2 linked regions of the Sus scrofa genome follow. The protein of the gene in region 1 binds, or shares a complex with, the protein of each later gene. Links are inferred from orthologs where the notes say so. Each region holds a gene or a part of one and is shown in the gene's direction. Other genes may lie near its edges.

Region 1 (6,667 bases):
GCTGTAGCTGCCAGGCTACACCACAGACACAGCAACCCGGATCCAAGCCACATCTGTGACCTACACCACAGCTCATGGCAACACTGGATCCTTAACCCACTGAGCAAGGCCAGGGATCCTGCATCCTCATGGATACTAGTCAGGTTCGAAACCCATGGAGCCACAATGGGAACTCCCTGATCTCTGTTTTTATACTCTAAATATGAGGAAACCAAGGAAAACCAACCCCATTAAATGACAGTGAGATGGCATAAATTTTTTTTCTATTGTGATAGGAAGGTGACGATTTTACTCCTTTCTTTTTTGGTTTGATTTTTTCTGTTGGCCTTAATTGGTGCTGGGTATAGAATGTTATTTTGATAGCTTAGTGATGCTTAGTAATTTCCAAGTTTCTTACAAGAATTTATTTCACAATTTCTCCCAATAATGGACTACAAATACCAGTTACTGTTAAAGTAATAAAGTTTACAGAGATTCTGTTAACTACATGTGAATGCATGATTATCGATAATATAAGTGTAGTCTTGAGACATTTAAGATTAAGGGTATTGCTTTCATAGAGTAGACATTTAGTAAATATACTTTGTTTTTTATCCTTTTTTAAGTGGGTCTTTACTTTTTTTTTTTTTTTTTTTTTTTTTTTGCTATTTCTTGGGCCGCTCCCGAGGCATATGGAGGTTCCCAGGCTAGGGGTCTAATCAGAGCTGTAGCTGCCAGCCTATGCCAGAGCCACAGCAACGCAGGATCCGAGCCGTGTCTGCAACCTACGCAGGATCCGAGCCGTGTCTGCAACCTACACCACAGCTCACGGCAAAGGCAGATCATTAACCCACTGAGCAAGGGCAGGGATCGAACCCGCAACCTCATGGTTCCTAGTCGGATTCGTTAACCACTGCGCCACGACGGGAACTCCTAAGTGGGTCTTTACTAATTGTAAAAACCTATAGGGTGTATGTTTTGTCCTTTTATGCATTCAACTTAACTGGATAAAATGCAGGTGGTATCACATTATTAGGGCTGAGATAAGGGTTTAATTTGGATACTTTCTGGAAAGGTTATTTTATAGGTTTAGGCATATTCCACTTTTATATTAAACTAATCCTAACATGAAAACAGTAGACTGCTTTTATTTATTTTTCTTTTTGGCCACAAGGTACAGCAGCTTAAAGTAGGATCTCAGTTCTCAGACCAGGGATTGAACCTGGGTCCCAGAGGCAAAAGTGCTGAATAGTAACCATTACACCAACAGGGAACTCCCTGGTTTTAATTCTTGACTTATATCCTCTTAAGGCCATTCCTGAAATATTATATCTAGTCTAAACTATAATATATATAATTTCCAGGGACTTACTACTTTCTTTAAGTGAAGAGTTTATTTATTTTTATTTTTATTTATTTTGTCTTTTTAGGGCCGTACCTGAGGCATTTGGAGGTTCCCGGGCTAGGAGTCAAATCTGAGCTGTAGTTGCTGATTTATACCACAGACAGCAACGCCAGATTCGAGCCGAGTCTGCGACCTACACCACAGGTCACGGCAACGCCTGATCTTTAACCCGCTGAGCAGGGCCACGGATTGAACCTGCATCCTCATGGATACTAGTCAGATTCACTTCCACTGAGCCACAATGGGAACTCCAAGAGTTTATTTTGATAGCTGAATAAGTAGAGTTATACCTGACAAAAGATAAATGATTTCTCTCTTGAACAGAATTTGGTTTGATTGATGTAGCTCAATATCTTCAAATAACTGCAATAGAAATATTTCAGAAGGTTGACATTTTGTATGTTTGGTTTGACCGATTCCAAGTTGATAGATAATTAAAGTAAAATGCCAGTAATTTAAATCAGTTTTAAGAGGGTGTCTTTATAGATTATAAACTTAATTTTAAAAAAACAGCGCTCATTTGGTCATCTCTTGGGGTATAGCAGGTTTAAGGATCCGGTGTTGTCATTGCACATCTTGGGTCACTACCGTGGGTGGGTTCAGTCCCTGGCCCAGCAGCTTCCACATGCTGCAGGCACGGCCAAATAAATAAAACAACCCTCATTTAATGGTGTACAGTGTGTAAAAACACTGAATCACTGTACTGTACACCAGAATCTAATCTAATATGGTAAATCAGCCTATATTTCAGGAGTTCCTGTTGTGTCACAACAGATTAAGAATCCAACTGGTATCTATGAGGATGTGGGTTCTGTGCCTAGACTCACTCAGTGGGTTAAGGATCCTGTGTTGCTGAAAGCTGTGGCATAGATCAAAGACGTGGCTTATATCCCACATTGCTGTGGCTGCAGTGTAGGCTGGCAGATGTAGCTCCAATTTGACCCCTAGCCTGGGAACTTCCATATGCTGTGGGTGCGGCCCTTAAAAAAAAAAAAAAAAGGAAAAAATCTATACTTCAATAAAAAAACTTTTCTTTAAATTTATCAGAAGAAAAAGGGGAGTTCCTGTCATGACTCAGTGGTTAAGGAATCCGACTAGGAACCATGAGGTTGCGGGTTCGGTCCCTGCCCTTGCTCAGCGGGTTAAGGATCTGGTGTTGCCGTGAGCTGTGGTGTAGGTTGCAGACTTGGCTCCGATCCCGAGTTGCTGTGGCTCTGGCATAGGCCGGCAGCTATAGCTCTGATTAGACCCCTAGCCGGGGAGCCTCCATATGCCACGGGAAGAGGCCCAAGAAATGGCAAAAAGACAAAAAAAAAAAAAAAAAAAAAAAAGAAGGGAAAAAAAAAACCTTGGAGTTCCCCAGTGGCTCAGTGGGTTAAGTATCGGGTTGTCACTGCTAGGGCTTGTTGCTGCAATTGAATCAAAGCTGCAGCTGCCAGCCTATGCAGCAGCCACAGCAACTTGGAATCCAAGCTGCATCTGCTTGTGGCAACGCTGGTTGCCACCTCAGCTTGTGGCAACGCTGGTCCTTAACCCACTGAGTGAGGCCAGGGATCGAACCTGCATCCTTGTGGATTCCAGTTGGATTAGTTTCCATTGCATCACAGTGGGAACTCCCTGGCCTGGGAACTTATGCATGCTGCAGATACAGCCCAAAAAACCCCAAAACTGGAAAAAAAAAAAAAAAAAAGAAGAATAGAAGAATATGAATTAACCTCTCAGTTATCTGATAATTTGAGTTACGCTGATTAGCTTTGTTTTATAATTTAGATTTTTTGTATTTTGTCTTTGCTTTCCTTGAGGGACGTAGCATGAGCATAAAATTATGTGCTATTAGGTCTTAGGAATTTGAGGTTTCAAAGGACTCATTAGTTTTCATTAGAATTTCCAGGAGTTCCCGTCATGGCTCAGTGGTTAAGGAATCCGACTAGGAACCTTGAGGTTGCCGGTTCAATCCCTGGCCTTGCTCAGTGGGTTAACGATGATCCGGTGTTGCCGTGAGCTGTGGTGTAGGTTGCAGACTCAGCTCGGATCCTGTGTTGCTGTGGCTCTGGTGTAGGCCGGCAGCTACAGCTCCGATTCAACCCCTAGCCTGGGAACCTCCACATGCCTCGGGAGCGGCCCTAGAAATGGCAAAGAGACAAAAAAAAAAAAAAAAAAAAAAAGAATTTACATATCTAAATTTAGTAAATAAAAATTTTATTGCTACCTCTGTTCAAGTCAATGATTTCCCACCACCCCTCCAAAAGACATGTGGAAGTTTCTGCCTGGAGGGAGCAAAACTAAGCCAGACCTTCGACCCCCACCTCAGTGGCAGCAATGCCTTATCCTTAACCCACTGTGCGCTGGGCCTGGGATCTGACTGGCGCCTCCACAGAGAGAAGCTGGATCATTAAGCCACTGTACCACAGCAGGAACTCCTAGACTGGTTTTTATTTATTTATTTTTTGTCTTTTTGCCTTTTCTAGAGCCACTCCCAAGGCATATGGAGGTTCCCAGGCTAGGGGTCTAATTGGAGCTATAGGTGCCCGCCTACACCACAGCCACAGCAATGCTGGATCCTTAACCCCCTGAGCAAGGCCAGGGTTTGAACCCGAATCCTCATGGTTCCTAGTCGGATTCGTTAACCACTGCACCACAACGGGAACTCCTAGACTGGTTTTTAAAAGTAGGATATTTAAAAGAAGATCCATGGTATCCTTTTTTTTTCTTTTTAACTTTCAACAGTGATGAAAAGACTGATGGTGGGAATAATGTTGAAGAATCAAGTAAATCTTCCCCTACTGTTTCACAAAGAAGAAAGCGACTATCAAGTACCTCTAGTGTGGTCAAGCCTAGTGTCAGTGTTCCCTCAGAACCTCATCCTTTATCTACAGTTAATAATCAAGAAGCTCCACAGCCAAACCCCGTTCCGACAAAAGAGAAACAGCCATGCTCAGATCGATTCCGAATATATAAAGCCCAGAAACTGAGAGAAATGTTAAAAGAAGAGTTGAGAAAAGAGAAGGTATTGTAAAAAAATCAGAATTTTGACTGTTGCCTGCTAGATTTCTGATTTTATGTTAATGAGGCATCATTTAGAGGAAAAATAAGCATCTGTAGCATTTTGATGAGAGAAACAAAACCAAATCACATCCTTCATGTTAGTACAATATCCCCTTTTGTTAACAGAATGATTTAAGAAGCATGATGGGATTAATAAGCTATTTTTTTTCCACAGTATTAATTTTTATATATTTTATTCATCTATGTCTTTTTTTTTTTTTTTTTTTTTTTTTGGTCTTTTTGCCATTTCTAGGGCAGCTCCCACGGCATATGGAGGCTCCCAGGCTAGGGGTCCAATCGGAGCTGTAGCCACCAGCCTACACCACAGCCCACGGGAATACCAGATCCTCAACCCACTGAGCGAGGCCAGGGATCAAACCCGCAACCTCATGGTTCCTAGTCAGATTCGTTAACCACTGAGCCACGACGGGAACCCCCATCTATGTCTTTGTTTTTGGCAGCAGCCACAAATAAAAGTTCCATATGTGTGCTCACAAACACATATGCTTACAAGTGTATTTATAAACTAGACCTTTAGTGGGATTTTTTTCTGAGGATGTCTAGGTATGACTGACATTCATTTGAATTAAGTATAGTTGAGCAAAATGAATTGGTAATGTTTTCTAAATTGACAAAAGGAAAATTGTAGATGGGGAAGATGTGTGTATAACTCGAGTCTATGTTCTTTTTAATCTTGAAGATTCATTGTCTGTCTGAGAAGGCAGTGTGACACTAGGAAAGCATGCATCCTCTGGAATTTGATACTTTAAGGTTTGACTCTTAGGGTCATCCTTTATTATGTAACTTTGAACAATTTAGTCTCCTGTGGCTGTTCCCTCATTTGTAAAATAGACTGATGATAGTATCCACCTTATTGGAAGATTGTGAAGATTAAAAGAGTTGATATGTGTAAAACACATTTAGACTAGTTACTTAGTAAATGGTAAGAGCCCAACAAATGTCTGCTCTTATTATTAATTATAGAATGTCCACCTTTTTCTAATTAAGAGGAAGATAAAATACTTACCTCGGTATTTTGTATTCATTATCTCATTTAAATATGTTAACTGTGAGAAGTTGATGTCACTTTTATACAGGAGGAGATAAAACTCCGAGAGGTTATTTGCTTTATGTCAAGTATCAGTGGAGGCTGTGAGACTTGAATCCATATCCTTGAAAATCTAAGCCTCAAAATGTTCTATGTTTTATAGAATCTGCTTAATTACATTTATTTTGGGGAAGCAAAAATTAAATATTTGCTTCAAGAATTTTATAAAGCATGCAGAATTCCAGTTCATTGCAGGGCAAGTAAAAGCTGTGTATGTATAAATTTTCAGTGAACCCTTGTGATTAGTCAGCATCAGTAATCATGATTTTATACATTGCACTTTATGCAGTCCTAGTCACTTTAGTTTTTAAAATTCCTTAATGTGCTCCAACTTTTTAATACTGAATTTATAATTTCTACTAAAATTAGGCATAATTGTGATAGGAATAATTTTCAAGCACTTGAAATGAATGCAGCAGTTGGCTGAATACTTAAATGTATATGGCTATAATTCTCCTTTATTTATAAAATAAAAGTGTATCTTTGTGTGTGTGTCTAGAAGCAATGGAAAAACAAACATGCCGTAAATGAAAATCAGAGGCCACAAGATCGTTCAAAAATGACTATGAGAGATTTCATATATTACCTGCCAAATAACAATCCAATGACGTAAGTAAAGTTTATTTCTGTTTTACTTCCTTTGGGTATGTAGTGATTTAAGTAAATATCATTTTTATAAAGTACAGTTTCATGTTTTCCAAAAACATGTTGACAAAATTTATGGCACATGGGATGTCCTTTTATTTTTTAATTTTAATTTTAAGTTTTTGACCACTCCAGCGGCATGTGGAAGTTCCTGGGGCCAGGGACTGAACCTGCAACAGGAGTGACAACGTCGGATCCTTACCCTGCTGTGCCACCAGGGGAGTTCCTGATGTCCTTTTAGATAGAACTTTATGGCAAAAATTAGTGATATTTCACGTCACTGCTTTCTTGGGATGGTAAATGATGCCCTTTATCTCTGAGATGAAAAATAAATTTCATATGTTATATTACCAAGATGTAGTAAAACCAACTAAATAACTTTTCTGTCGTTAGTATTGGATGCTAGTCAGATTCTTAAGCTGCCGAACCACAACAGGAACTCCACCATTTATATTTCTTTTTCTTTTTTTTTAATCTCTTTGTCT
Region 2 (7,184 bases), on another chromosome or scaffold:
TTCTAACCAATATGGCATAAAGAACATGGGTTTTGGAACTGAACAGATAGACTCCTAATTCTCTCTCTCTTTTTATTTTATTTTTTTATTTTTATTTATTTATTTTTTTTTGGTCTTTTTGGCCATTTCTAGGGCCGCTCCCGCGGCATATGGAGGTTCCCAGGCTAGGGGTCTAATCGGAGCTGTAGCCGCCAGCCTACACCACAGTCACAGCAATGCCGGATCCGAGCCGCATCTGCAACCTACACCACAGCTCATGGCAACGCCGGATCCTTAACCCACTGAGCAAGGCCAGGGATTGAACCCGCAACCTCATGGTTCCTAGTCGGATTCGTTAACCACTGGGCCACGACGGGAACTCCTCTCTTTTTATTTTTTTTGGCCAAGCCCATGGCATGTAGAAGTTTCTGGGTGAGGGATTGAACCCACGTCACAGCAGTGACCCAAACCACAGCAGTGACAACACCAAATTCCTTAACTGCTAGGTCACCAGGGAACTCCTGGTTTGGTTTGTTTGTTTTTTGTTTTTGCTTTTTAGAGCCCTACCCATGGCATACGGAAGTTCTCAGGCTAGGGGTCGAATCAGAGCTACACCTGCCAGCCTACGCTACGGCCACAGCAATACCCAATCTGAGCTGCATCTTTGACCTATACCACAGCTCGGATCCTTAATCCACTGAGCAAGGCTAGGGATTGAACCTACATCTTCACAAATACTAGTCTGGTGCATGACCACTGAGCCATAACAGGAACTCCTGGTTGGTTTTTATTTTTATTTGTATTTTTAAAATTTTATGGCTGCACCTGCAGCATGTGGAAGTTCCTGGGCCAGGGACTGAATCTGAACCACAACTGGGACTTATGCCATAGCTGTGTAATACCGAGCCATTTAACCCACTCACTAGGCCAGAAATTGAACCTGCACCTCTTCAGCGACTCAAGCTGCTGCAGTCGGATATTTATTTATTTAAAAACATTTTAATTATAGTTGACTTGCAATGTTCTGTCAATTTCTGCTGTACAGCAAAGTGACCCAGTTATACATGCATACACATTCTTTTTCTCATATTATCTTCTATCATGTTCTATCACAAGTGATTGGATATAAGTCCCTGAGCTATACAGCAGGACCTCATTGCTTATCCATTCTAAATGTAATAGTTTGGGAGTTCCCACTGTGGCTCAGTGGTAACAAACCTGACTAGTATCCATGGGGACGCAGGTTCAATCCCTGGCCTTGTTCAATGGGTTAAGGATCTGGTGTTGCCTTGAGCTATGGTATAGGTTGCAGAGGCAGCTCGGGTTTGGTGTTGCTGTGGTGTAAGCCAGCAGCTACAGCTCCAATTCAACCCCTAGCCTGGGAACTTCCATATGCTGTGAGTAGGACCATAAAAAGACAAAAGGAAGGAAGGAAGGAAGGAAGGAAGGAAGGAAGAAGGAAGGAAGGAAGGAAGAAAGAAAGAAAGAAAGAAAGAAAGAAAGAAAGAAAGAAAGAAAGAAAGAAAGAAAGAAAAAGAAAATACCTCTTTGATGACTTTTAATTTATGCTCAAACATGACATACAAAATCTCTAATTGGTAAGCTTGGTTTCTATAACACTGCTAGCGGCACAGTTTTCCTCAAGATTCTTTGATCTGTGCTATATACCATGCTAGGAACTTTGGAGCTAGAATCTTGGAGCATCTTAAAGCTCAAGGTTTTAAAAACATCCGCATCTGCTTGAACCCTCCAGATTGCCAAAGGCCTCACCACCCCATATTCTTTCTCTCCAACTCCTTTAGACATTCTTTGCCTAGCCTCTGAAGGCATTTGAGGGTGCCACTCTGGATTTTAATTCAACTCCTTTATTCCACAGTTGAGAAAAATGGACTGCAAAGAGAAGAGACAACTGGCTCGAGGTGAAGGCGCTCTGGAAGGAACACAGTTCCCTGCCCTCTCACTAGACCACTCTCCCTTTTAGACACAAACTTTGTACCATGGCCCAAATCAACGTTCCTTACCAAAGGGAAATGGAGCATCTACGATTCCCCTAGCGCTTTAGAAAAAAGAGTTCTTTGTGGATGGCAACAATTTTCTTGTATATTATGCGTATCCATGCATGTAAAAAGCTCACCCAAATGCAACTGCTAGTCTAGCCCACCTCAAACTAACTACAGTTTGCGGAGAACCCGAAGACGCAGTCCAGCAGGAACCCCCGTCTCCTGGCTCACATTTCTACCCGAGTCCTCAGAGGAAAGGACCGGAAGTGGGGCGTGGCCGAGGAGGAACTACCCATAGTACGGCTGTCACGCTGGCCGGAAGGAGGTGGTGCAGGCCTTAGAAAGCTCCGCTCCTACTTCCTGTTTGCAACACTGTTGCTGTTGTCGACGTTAGGGGCGGTTACCCGAAGGCTTCCTCGGCTCTGGACGGGTTGTAAGATGCCGGGAAGAGGCCGCTGCCCCGATTGCGGCTCCACTGAGCTGGTGGAAGACTCACACTATTCGCAGAGCCAGCTGGTGTGCTCCGACTGCGGCTGTGTGGTCACCGAGGGAGTCCTTACGACCACCTTCAGTGATGAGGGCAACCTCCGAGGTACCTTGCGGGCTTTTCCAGGGCAATGGATAACAGCCTGGGGGCAGTGGAGTGATTGACGTCGAGATTCTTATCTCCTGCCTTTTCCTGGTCACATGCACGGGAGAAAATGGCCTAAAGTGAACGAGTGAGCTGTAGAAGCTCAGGGACTGCGGTTTATCTGTGTTTTTCTAGCAAGGTATTTGGTATTAATAAACGCTGAATAAATGAAATCAAGAGAGAAAGCTGCACTCAATTTACCTAGTCTGGGCATGGTGGAAGGATTGCGGATCAATTCTTTACGAATACAGAAAATACTATTACCGCAAAGTAGTTTTGAGCACTAATTGGCAAAAGCATCTTTTTTTTTTTTTTTTTTTCTTCCCTCTCTGCTCTTCAAGTCTGTGACCAATGCAACCCTCAGAATATTCAGTCAGGAAAATTGCCTGAATTGGATGTACAAGAGAGATGGCTGGAACACTTGGAGCTGCTTTAGTGCAGTCCTAATCTTCCTAAATTTCTTTGTATTGGGTACTGTTTGTGGTCATAGAAAATCAGATGGACCTTTAATGTGCAAAGATGGGACAAGAAGTGGATGCGTCCTGGTTTGGCTCCTGGGTTTTGTGTGGTGGGAGGGCAAGGGTGTGGCACGTGGAGGCTAAACAAGCTATTTGTTGCCCATTATCTTACAGAAGTAACATATTCCCGAAGCACAGGGGAAAATGAACAAGTTAGTCGCAGCCAGCAACGAGGTGAGAATAAACCTTTTATGACATAGTGCTTTAAAGAAAACTCTCCTGATGGTCCAGCCCATCTACTTATCTTTCCTGTTTTCAGCATTACTGTGTAAGGCTGAGTTGAAGAGAATGGTAATTAAAAATAAAGGATGATAGGGTTTCCTGGTGGCTCAGTTGGTTAAGGATCTGGTGTTGTCCTGCTATGACTTGGGTTGCTGCTGTCGCATGGGTTCGATCCCTGGCCCAGGAACTTCCACATGTCACGGGCATGGCAAAAAAAAAGAAAGGAAGGGAGCGAGGAGATGGTTCTAAGAGAGGTAGCAATTAGGTGGAAGATTCAGGTTTGCTTGGGGATTTGTTTGAGGTAGACTAAGGAGCTCAGATGCAAACTTTGGCTTGGCCACAAATCAAACCAGCCTCCAAAAGATGGGGCACTGAAATGTGACTTCTTTCTATAAGTGACTTTGTGCCTCCCAAATGTCCTCACTAAGTGTCGCTGTTGTCATTATAGAAAGGTTTGTTATTTGTGCATCTCATATCTGAGGCAGGTTTACCAGAAATTGCTGGGAGCTGCATGATGGCTCCTTTGACCCCTTTATGTAGAATATCATGCCATCTGCAGACAGTGACAGTTTTACTGCTTCTTTTCCGCTTTTTTTTTTTTAATTTTTAATATAATTTTATTTTTTTTTCTTTTGTCTTTTTAGGGCCATATCCATGGCAAATGGAGGGTCCCATGCTAGGGGTTGAATCAGAGCTGTAGCCTCTGGCCTACACCAGAACAACAGCAATGTGAGATCCAAGCCACGTCTGCGACCTATACCACAGCTCACAGCAACGCTGGATCCTTAACCCACTGAGTGAGGCCAGGGATCGAACCGGCGTCCTCATGGATATGGGATTTGTTAACCACTGAGCCATGACGGGAACTCTTTTTCTAGTTTGGATTCCTATTGTTTCTGTTCCTCCTCCGATTGCTCTGGTTAGATCTTCCAAAACTCTGTTGAATAAAAATGGTGAGGGTGGGCATCCTTGTCTTGTTCGTGATCTTAGAGGAAAGGCTTTCAGCTTTACATCGTTGAATGTGATGTTAGCTCTGTGTTTGTCATATGTGGTCTTCCTTATGTTGAGATATGTTCCCTCTATGCCCACACTCTGGAGAGTTTTTACTGTAAATGGATGTTGAATTTTATAAAACACTTTTTCTGTATCTATTGAGATGACCATATGGTTTCTATGGTTCATTTTGGTGTGTCACATTTGTTGACTTGTGGATATTGAAAAATCCTTGTATCCCTGGGATAAATCCCACTTGGTTGTGGTATATCATCCTTTTAAAGATCATTCTTTATTGTTGGGACTAACTCCTGCTATGGGTTTTCCTAGGTCTCCGCCGAGTGAGAGACCTCTGTCGAGTTCTGCAGCTACCACCAACATTTGAGGACACGGCAGTTGCCTACTACCAACAGGCATACCAGCACTCTGGCATCCGTGCTGCCAGGCTGCAAAAGAAGGAGGTGTTGGTCGGGTGCTGTGTCTTAATTACCTGCCGGCAGCGTAACTGGCCCCTGACCATGGGAACCATCTGCACCCTAATCTATGCAGATTTGGATGTGTTTTCTGGCACCTACATGCAGATGGTGAAGCTCCTGGGGCTAGACGTGCCGTCTCTGTGCTTGGCAGACCTGGTGAAGACTTACTGTAGCAGGTACCTGCTGTGTGGGAGACGCTGGGTTGGGGTGGGACCTGAACCCTTTTATCTCTAGCTGCCTCTTTTTGACCAGGCGCATTTCCAAGGATGTGGGAGAGAAGTCTCTTCTCCCTCTCCCAGGCTTAGTAGTAGTCACATTGATCCCGTTTTACATTTCTAGAATGGTATAATTTTCAAATCCCTTTGCCCACAGCACCCTAATGATGTAGGAAGTAGGTATTAGCCTTGGCATAGGGCTCTTGAGGTCCACCTCTCATGTTTTGCGTGGCTGAATGCTGTGACCCTGCCTCGGGAGGATCACCTGTGATTAGACCCAAGAAGTTATTAGTAAATGACAGGGTGGAGCTAGAAGCTAAATTTTATTGTTGTTCTAAGTAGCTGTGTCCTTTTCCTTTTTTTCTGGTAAATAATAGTAGAAAGCAAAGGCTATCGGTGTCAGATAATCCTGGGTTTGAAGCTTGGTTATTTCCAAGCTGGGTAACTGTGGGCAAGTTTTTCCAACTCTCAATGCACATAACAGGGTATTGAGTAGATTAAAGGAGAACACCTGTAAAGCACTCAGAAGGATGGCTGGCAGGGGGTGGTCAACAAATGTTAGCTCCCTGCCTTCTCCTGCCCTTCACTTCTCCAGCAGAAGGCTCATCCTGTCCTCTCTGGTACCCGGATGACCTTGCTGCCCAGCAGGCGTGAGTGTTTCCAGGAGGGTAGAACAGCTTGCTATCTTCCTCAGTTTGGAAGAGCAGTCCCCTGCTACCCCCCACCGCATCCCGTCGGTGTTGAGACCAGACCGTCTTTTTGGTTATTTCAGCTTCAAACTTTTTCAAGCCTCCCCGTCTGTGCCAGCCAAGTACGTGGAAGACAAGGAGAAGATGCTGTCTCGAACACTGCAGCTGGTGGAGCTGGCGGATGAGACGTGGCTGGTGACTGGGCGGCATCCCCTACCTGTCGTTACTGCTGCCACTTTCCTGGCCTGGCAGTCGCTGCAGCCTTCTGATCGGCTGACTTGTTCCCTGGCCCGATTTTGTAAATTGGCAAACGTGGACCTTCCCTACCCTGCTGCCTCCCGCCTGCAGGAGCTGTTGGCCGTGCTGCTGCGGATGGCCGGGCAGCTGGCCTGGTTGCAGGTTCTGAAGCTTGACAAGCGGTCTGTGGTGAAGCACATCGGTGACCTCCTCCAGCACCGCCACACGCTAGTCCGCAAGGCCTTTCGAGATGGAACCTCAGAGACAGACGAGCGGGAGAAGGAGCTGCCGGGGCAGGGACAGGGGAAGGAGGAGGCGGGGAGCAGCTCTGTAGATTTGCCTGAGGGGAAGCGGCCAGCGAGTCCTGCCCCCCTCCTCCCACCCTGCATGTTGAAGCCCCCAAAGCGGATCTGTCCCACCCCCCCTGTCTCCACGGTCACCGGCGATGAGAACATTTCTGATAGTGAGATTGAGCAATACTTGCGTACCCCTCAGGAAGTTAGGGACTTCCAGAAAGCCCAGGCTGCTGGACAGGCCACCACGAGTGGTCCTAACCCTCCCTGATGCACATCCAGAGTTGGGGCTGCCTCACCCCGACCTGAGGGCAGGGTGGTGATAGTCCTGACACCTCAGAGAAGTTCGTGTATACAAGTCTAGGTATTGTCGTTCTTGTTTCAAGGACCCGAGAGGGGCTCTGCAGTTACTTGACCCAAGGCCCTGGAGTAGAAGTCAGAAGGAATGCAGGGACATGTGGGTTGGAGGGAGTCCCATCTCTTGGACTCAGAGAGTGGGTTGCACGTACTCCTGTTCCCAGGCTGGCTTTCCTCTTGGACTGTTGGGAGAGTGGCAGGGTCACTCCTGCTCCTGGTGTGGCTGCTGTGCTGCTGGTGGGGCCTCCCTTCTGGTGTGGAGCAGCAGGCATTCCCCCATTTGGAGGACGAGACCCCAGGCAACCCTTGGCCATGCATCTGTTCACAGGTCTGAGTGGGTTCACGTGTATAGTATCAGAGATCCTCTACCTCATAACAGACTGACCGTGGTTGGAGTAAGGTCATAGCTCAAAGGGCTTTGCAAATTTTTAATATATTAAAACAAGAGGCATCTGCTAGAAAACATTCTATTGTATAAAACCGGAGCTTTTAAAAACATGTTTTCTTTGGCACTTTTCATCCCCTCCCTCCCCATTCCCCAGCGTATTGCAAAAAGCTCTCCAGTGCTAAGGCA

What was found.
Region 2: BDP1 (region 1) and BRF2 share a complex: the UniProt entries of both Homo sapiens proteins name them as parts of the TFIIIB complex. The link is inferred for Sus scrofa from reciprocal best matches to the Homo sapiens genes BDP1 and BRF2.

The regions. Positions count from the first base shown.
Region 1 is NC_010458.4:47,802,571-47,809,237, forward strand, and holds part of BDP1 (transcription factor TFIIIB component B'' homolog), read left to right. Parts: intron 1-4,111; coding exon 4,112-4,391; intron 4,392-6,036; coding exon 6,037-6,146; intron 6,147-6,667. UniProt on the Homo sapiens protein: General activator of RNA polymerase III transcription. Requires for transcription from all three types of polymerase III promoters. Requires for transcription of genes with internal promoter elements and with promoter elements upstream of the initiation site.
Region 2 is NC_010457.5:48,565,929-48,573,112, forward strand, and holds BRF2 (transcription factor IIIB 50 kDa subunit), read left to right. Parts: upstream 1-2,278; 5' UTR 2,279-2,417; coding exon 2,418-2,571; intron 2,572-3,242; coding exon 3,243-3,302; intron 3,303-4,673; coding exon 4,674-4,995; intron 4,996-5,806; coding exon 5,807-6,524; 3' UTR 6,525-7,108; downstream 7,109-7,184. UniProt on the Homo sapiens protein: General activator of RNA polymerase III transcription. Factor exclusively required for RNA polymerase III transcription of genes with promoter elements upstream of the initiation sites.